Elephas maximus indicus: one gene and its partner. The protein of the gene in region 1 purifies or fractionates together with the protein of each later gene. This does not show direct contact. Links are inferred from orthologs where the notes say so. Each region holds a gene or a part of one and is shown in the gene's direction. Other genes may lie near its edges.

Region 1 (3,915 bases):
TAAACGTTCTTACTTTGCCACCCTCATTCTACAAACTGTTCCCTGTTCGCCCTTCCATGCTAAAGTTACTTTCCTCCTCCAGCACCCCCCCCATTCTCACATATTCTATTCCACCCCCCAAAAAGCCTGGAATCACTCTCCAGACTGTCTCTTCCTTCCAACGGCTCTCCAAATTAACTTTCCCAGCAACCTCCCACCCCATGATTTAAAATGTCCCATCAAAAAAACCTAACAGTCCTGGCCTCCCCCCGCCCCCCCCCCCACGAAATCTTTCTGCCATCCTCGCAACTTCCTGGGTTCCTAGTCCTCCCCACTCCCGTAAGCCTCGCGTGTCGGGCTCCCATCCACCCGGGGAAGAGCCCCTGCCCGCACATACCTCGAGGATCCGGCCCGCGCCGCCCCCTTCTCCGTCCTCCGCCCGCGCTCGGCCACCCTTTCCGCCCTTCTGTCGCTCCGCTCCGCCCCACTCGCTCCCTTCCTTCCCTCCGCCTTCCGTCTCCACACCCCTCCCTTCCCCCACAATTCCCAGCCCTCCCACCGGGGCCCCTCTGGGTTCGCCCCCACCTCTGCGCGGCCCTCTCCTCGCCCCTCCCCCCTCCCCACCGCCCCTCCGCTCCCCGCCCCTCTGCTCGCCATTCTTCTACCCGAGCTGCGCGCCCCATCCGGCTCCAGCTCCCTAGCTACCCGCTCCTTCGCGCCCTCGCCCCCATCCCCAGCTTGTTCCTCGCTTCCCGCGGCCTCCCGCGCCCCCCGCCCGCGGCCTGACCTGCAATGGCGGCCGCCGAGCGCGGCGCCGCGCGGCCAACGGGCGACAACCGAACCTCCCGCCGCCGTCGCCGCCGCCGCGAGCACTGCCTGCGCACTTCCGGCCTCGTGTCGCGAACACTTCCGGGGCAGAGCACGAGAGCGCGCGCGCACGTGGGACCGGGGCGGAGAGTGGTGAGCGCGGGACAGGGGGTGAGTTGGGGAAGGGGTTTGAGAAGCGTGTGAGAGGGGCGAGTCTGAGGGGGTGGGATTCGTACAATTTCCGCGCCCAGCGGAGCTCTCTGAGTCCTTCGTGCCGAGACGGGATGGGGGCTATTCCACAGACCCCCAGAGAAGGAAGGGGCGGCGAAGACTTGCAACCGCTTCAGACGCCCTCGTACCGGGGCCGGACCGAGCATGCCTGCTGTGCCCCCGAGTTCAGAGCCTTGAACTAAGGCCAGCAAGTGGCGTACCAGATTCGACCCTTACCTTTGGCGCTGTATGTTTGTTGGCAGCCGGGGTGGGGGTGCGGGGTCTGTGGAGGGGAAGAAATAGTGACAGAAGCCAAACAGTGCATCTAGAGTAAGTCACTGAGTCCTTTCGCTCCCTCCCCGTGAGGAACTCGCGATTCTGCCCTCACCCGTCAGCCCCACCGTCACTAGCTTAGTTTGGGTCTGTGATTTGCAAACTTTAGCCTGCTGTAGAGTTGGGAAGAGGTGCTTGCTAAAATATACATTTCCTGTTCTCCCGCCTCTCTCCCCGCAAGATTGGAATTCCGGAGCAGTAAGACACTGGGTTTGGACTGGGTTAGGGTAGGACCCCAAATCCTGCATTTTTAAACCATTCCCCGAGGTGATTTTGATGCAGGAGTTCTACAAGCCTCACTTTCAGAGACTGATTTAGGTTGTCAGCGTTTCTTGCCTTCTCTGTCTTTGTGTGGTTTAGGCCAGAAGTGTTAATAGGAAGCTGTCCTCCATTCTCTGTCATTCTTTCTTGATTCTGGTGGCGGTGTCTACTTCACACACAAAGTAGAAGGGAGAACCTTAGCTTTTGCCCCTCACACAACTGGTCAGCTCTGTGTTTCTCCCTTATTCAGGTGCGGGCTCCCAATTAGGCAGAGAAGGAGGTTATGTTCAGTCCTTTTGTTCTCAGATCAAATTCGAGATTCTCACTCCTCTTTCCTGGACCATTTCCTTGAGGCAGCTCATGGGATGGGATTGTTAAGAGTCTGGGCGATGTTCTATGTTTTCATCTTTTGATTCTTTACCGAAGTATCCTTATTCAAATCATCCTGAGTTCTTGGAGATCGTTTGATAGGTTCTTATGTGGGCAAGAGAGCATTATGAATTAGATATTCAGAAATGGACATCAGTGAGATATAATTGAATCCTCCCATGTATGAGTTGGAATCAACTCCACAGCAATGAGTTTTTTAATCCAGAACACTGATAGTGAACTGATTACATGTGACGTGCTGCAGTTAAAGTTTAACAATAATGACTCTCTTTTTTCCCCCCTCCTAGGAATGGGTGAATTTAGGGTCCATCGAGTACGTTTCTTTAATTATGTCCCATCAGGGATCCGCTGTGTGGCTTACAATAACCAGTCAAACAGATTGGCTGTTTCACGAACAGATGGCACTGTGGAAATTTATAACTTGTCAGCAAACTACTTTCAGGAGAAAGTAAGTCATTCTAGAGCCTGATCTGGTGTTTCTGATGTGTTTTTCTTAAGTTCAAGTCCACAAAACTTTTATGTCTTTTATATTCAAAGAAATCAAAAGAATGTAACTCTCTCCTCCTGGAGTTGTTTAGAACTATATAACTGATATGGCAAATATGAGATCTTTTGTCTGACTGATGATGGAGCTCAGAGTTTTGGTCTGTGTAATGTCGATTAGAATGGTCCTACCTAGGGATTGTTGTCATTTGAAAACTGAGGTTTTCTGGATCTTTTTGGCACAGCAGGAAGGGAAATTTTCCACACCATTGCTTTATATCAATCTCAGCACCCTGGCAGCTTTGGTAAGGAAGCACTTCCTGCTGGAACTGTCAGTGCTAGTTTCATTGTCAATTTAGAAAAAATGATCACCATTTTAGTATCAAATTGGTGATGTAATAGCAGGAAGATAGATTCCTATGTTCACCTGTCCAAGAGAATGCAGACTTATATGCAGATATCAGGGAGTAAAGGGTATTTTAAATTAGGTAAAACACTCTTTAGATATATCCAAAGGAATGTTACAGCGGCATTTTTTTTCAAAGGCACCGATTGCTGTTTTTCTTCAGGTGCAGCTTTTAATTCAGTTCACATTTGCTGAATACCTAATATGATCCCAACAGCCTGATACCTGGCCCTCTGTAAATCTCCAAATGAATAAGTGAGAGATACTAGGTATTGTAAGGCAAATGTCAGAGGCCCTACCTTCAAGGAGCTCAGAGTCCAGCTGGGGGAAAGATAAGTACATAGATAGTTTTCAAATAGTGTGATACATGCTGTGATAAAGCTAAACACAGGCACAGAACCTCGGTGGAGAGGTGCCTCACTCAGATAGGCAGGTTTAGGAAACCTGGAAAGAGGTGACTTACTGAGCTGACCCCCAAAAAACTGATAGGAGTTAATCAGAGAAAGCTATTAAAGCAGAGTGAGCAACGTGTCCAATGACCCAGCAATGGCCAGAAAAGACAGGACACTTTAAAGAGCGTAGGAGAAATGAGGCTGTAGTAGAGACCAGATAAATGTTTAGGGCCTTTTGTAACACGTTAAAGAGCTTGAGTTGTCATGCAGGCTATAGGGAGCTCTAGGAAGTGAAATAACCAGAACTGTATTTTAGAAAGGACTCTCTAGCTGTAGGGTGAAGAAGAGATGGAAGAGGAAGGAGGATAGAGACTGGGAGTCCAGTGAGGAGAGACTGTTTAGTAGTCAGGGGAGAATTGAGGCAAGGGCAGTGGAGATGGTCAGGAGATGATAATTGGAGAAGAATAAGGGAATAGAGTTGTGAGAACTTTTGGGTTGATTGTTATTTCTTGCAACTTGTCTTCCCCACTAGACGTGTTTGTTGAGGTCCGTGTCTAGTTTAGTAGGTGCTTCAGTGGATATTTACTGAACGAATCATTGAATGTGAAAGTGATGGTGGTGTCAAGTTTTCAGCCAAAAACCAGTATTTCTGAC
Region 2 (3,915 bases), on another chromosome or scaffold:
ATTAAAAACCACACCTCTATACCCCATGATGTCACCATCACTTGTAACAGATAACTAGAAACAGTTTTGGATCACAAATATAGAACAAAATTATAACATACCCTTAAATAAATGAAATAAAGCTAACAAAAAGGAATTCTTACCTTGAAGTTGTTTTCTTTTTGAAAAAATAGACAAGTAAAAGTCCCATACTGCTGCAACATATTCTCCCTAGTATTTCAAAGAGGAGATACTGTAACACAAAACTAGAGTCAAAACAATGAAGAGTACAGGCAGAAACCTGTACACCAATGTTCATTGCAGCATTTTTCACAATAGCCAAAAGGTAGAAACACACAAAATGTCCATCAAAAAATGAATGGATAAACCAAATGTGGTATATAAATGCAATGGAATACTACTCAGCCATAAAAAGAAGTCCTGATACATGCCATAACATGAATGAACCTTGAAAACATGTTGGGTGAAAAGTCACAAAAGGACAAATTGTATGATCTGATTTATATGAAATAACCAAATACATAGAAACTAAGGATTATTTGTGGTTACCAGGTGTGGAAAGAAGGGGAAGGAGGGAGAGTTTTTGCTTTGGGGGCATTGAGGTTATGTTAATGGTGGTGGAATGATTTGGAAATGTGCAGCTAGAATGGTTGCACGACTTGAAGAATGTAATCAATGTTACTGAATTATACATGCAGAAATTGCTGAGCTGGCAAATGATTCGTTATATATATTTTCACTACAATAATTCTAAAAGTGGGGGGGCAAGGAACTGGAGATACAGGCATAAAAAACATCCTCTGAGAGTACAGGGGTACCTAACCCACAGGTACGGGAGGAGGATGGAGGAGGGTAAAACCAAGGCAACACGTATGAAACAGCCCATAGCAAACTAGGGAGCACTAAACGGAGAACCTGGCCAGTGAGGCAGAATATCAGATCAGGATGGAGGAGGGTAAAACCAAGGCAACACGTATGAAACAGCCCATAGCAAACTAGGGAGCACTAAACGGAGAACCTGGCCAGTGAGGCCGAATATCAGATTTGCCCCAGTAGCTACACTGACGGGGAAGGAAAAGGATGCGATGCACTAGACTTTACAGTCGGAGGTTTTAGAAAGGCAAAAGCAAGGCACTCGGAGCTGTAGAGATCCTGTAGGAACGTATGTGGTGCTCAGAGGACGAGAACAAAGTAGCAGTTACCGAGAGGAACACAGAGCTGTGCAAGAAGTAGAAAACTACTTTCCCCACTCAAGAAAGCCAAACTCGCAGCCAAGAACCAGTCGGCACAAGACTATAGCATCATCTCCAAGCGACCGAATCGTAGTTCAAGAAAGGCGAGGCTTACGGTGGGAGGAGAGGTCACGTGATTCACTATGCGCCACCTTTCCCTTGTAGCGGAACAATCTGTAGAGTTCGATTGACAAGGCCGGAGTGAGATGTATCTCTACTATAGCGTAGCCGTATATTATATACCCTGTGCGTTTTACGCTTTCTTTTTTCACAGGCGTCCTATTTTGACGTTGCCCAAACAAAAGATGGCGGCACGGGCGCCGGCTCCTACCATAGAGGCTCTGGCTAGAGAAGCCCTGTAAGAGTTTTGTTGCTCAGTATAGGAAGTTCGGGGCCAGTGATCGGGAAAACTGCGTCTGCGCGAAGATGGTGGAGGAGGCGAGTCTCCGCGTGGTTCGCTGTGGCGGCAGCGAGTTGAACTTTAGGAGAGCGGTTTTCTCTGCGGATTCTAAGTATGGGACCTTGTCGGCCCGGCTGTGGGGCGTAAATCCCGGGGGGGCGGGGAGGGGAGGCAGTGGGGAGAGAACTGTCAGAGTTGCGTCTCATGTCGCCTGCCTACGGATCGGGGCTCTGGGGAAGGGGCGCGTGAGCGGAGACCCCAGAGCACGCGCGAGGGAGCTGGTGCACTCTGAGAGTAGTCCTCTGGCACCACAGGCTTGGGTTCGATTCCCCGTCCCTGGACAGTTTGTCTTCTGGTAGATTGAGGTGTACAGGGGCGGGTCCACGTGTTCATTGGCTTGGCGTTGTGGTGTCTGAAATGTGGTCCGCTGCGCTTTCGGTACCACCAGGAGTATCTTTACTGTTTGGTATAGAATCGTGTCTTGGAATTATTGAACCTTTTAAAGATTCCGCTTTTCCTATACTTAACCCCCCCCCCAACATAAGGCACTTAGTCAACCTTTTTGCAGCTTTGTGTGAAAACTGATGGTAGACTCTGTGCAGGATAAAAAGTTAAACCCAAGTATTGCCTGAGTTTGAAACCCAGTTCTTACGCTGTGTGACTTTGACAAGTTTCTTAATCTGTCTCAGTTGTCTCTCTGTAAAATGGGGATAGTAACACATCTCATAGAGTTGTTTGAAGGATTAAATGCCTTAATACACGTAAAACTTGTAAAACGGTGCGTGGCACTTAATAGGTCAGTGTATGTCAGCTACCATCGTCATTACTCTTACGTTATCATAATCTACAAGTGACACATTGTAATAAGTTTTTCAAATAATGTAAGAATATAATGGCACTAAGTACAGCCCTGTCTTAGAAGAGTGGGAATAGTATCTTAGGAAAGTTTGTATCCCCCACAGTATTTTGCATATGGGTGTATGGCAAATGTTGAATACACACATGACTGAAGGAGCTTTCATAAATTCCTTTCGAAATTTTAATAAGGAAAATTCAAATCCTTGGTCTTTAAAGTTAAAAAGGGCTTTGTTGATACTCATGAATCAGAGAAGGAAACTGAGGCTCTGAGAGTTTGCCAAAATTCTGCCGCTTTAGGCTAATACCCACTAATCCAGTTTCTTCTCCAGTGTACTGTTTCTACAACTTATTCCTTATGAGGTCTGTTGTGTGTTTCATTTGCAGGCCCTAAATTCACTTCTAATATTTGTCATACTTACGATGTATAACATTATGAGATGTCAAGAACTAAGAGAATTCAAATATTACAATCTAATGAGGAAAAAGAAATACTGAGTAACAGATGTTTCATACAGTGGTACCGTGCAAGCAAATAAAAAGGGGAGAGTACTTCACACTGGGAAAATGGAGGTTTTTGAGGAGGTGACATTTAGGCTAGACCTAGAAGGGTAGGTGTTATTTGGACCAAGGGATGTGGATGGAAGGCATTCCAGGTGGGGGACAGCACAAGCAAGAAGGGTAGAAGTAAAGACCAAACCTGTTGTCTTTGAGTCAGTTCAAACTCAGAGGCATATTTATATTGAACAGCCTGTGATGCAGTTAGCTAGTAGGAGTGGTCTCTGAAGAGAACTAATGGGAAGTGAAGTTGGAAAGAGAACTTGGAGACAGGTATTGGTTGTTGTTTGGTCCAAGGATGGTGTTTTGTTTTTTATTTGTTTTGTTTGTTTTTTATTCTCTAAGTAAAGGTAGGGATGTAACATGATTGTGTTTCTTCAAAAATATTAATACAAAACTCATGTAGAAAACTATATAATATGTGTTGGAGAGTTGAGAGGTGGGTAGACTAGTATACTCAAGGTACAGCCATGGCCTAGAAGAAGGACTCACATAGTGAAAGTTTCCCATCAGTAGTAAGATCTTGGAAGACTGACAGGAGTTTCTCCCACCAATGACATTGAGGGAGGGCATTCCAGCAAAGGGAAGAGCTTGGTTTGGAGTTGGGGAGGTCATACACGTATTATCAGTATAGTTGCAGCATATGGCATAGGGAAATGGTAGAATAAGAGTCTAGAAGAGTGAAAACCAGGGGTTAGAAGGCTAGTGCAGGCATCCAAACTAGAGTGACTTTGGCCTGAACTAAGATAACATCATTGCGGATGGAGGGAAGAGACAGGTTTTTGGAGTGATTTTGTGATTAGGATTAACAGGGAGAGATATTGAGGTCAGTTTGGGCCCTATTGAGTTTAAACTCCGAAAACCAAGCCC

What was found.
Region 2: the proteins of UTP4 (region 1) and WDR75 purify together in Homo sapiens (co-immunoprecipitation; 3 studies listed by BioGRID and IntAct, counting the BioPlex papers as one, with this or other methods). This does not show direct contact. The link is inferred for Elephas maximus indicus from reciprocal best matches to the Homo sapiens genes UTP4 and WDR75.

Annotation. Positions count from the first base shown.
Region 1 is NC_064839.1:35,379,767-35,383,681, forward strand, and holds the start of UTP4 (U3 small nucleolar RNA-associated protein 4 homolog), read left to right. Parts: upstream 1-1,274; 5' UTR 1,275-2,167; coding exon 2,168-2,428; intron 2,429-3,915. UniProt on the Homo sapiens protein: Ribosome biogenesis factor. Involved in nucleolar processing of pre-18S ribosomal RNA. Part of the small subunit (SSU) processome, first precursor of the small eukaryotic ribosomal subunit.
Region 2 is NC_064824.1:87,568,812-87,572,726, forward strand, and holds the start of WDR75 (WD repeat-containing protein 75), read left to right. Parts: upstream 1-1,526; 5' UTR 1,527-1,658; coding exon 1,659-1,744; intron 1,745-3,915. UniProt on the Homo sapiens protein: Ribosome biogenesis factor. Part of the small subunit (SSU) processome, first precursor of the small eukaryotic ribosomal subunit.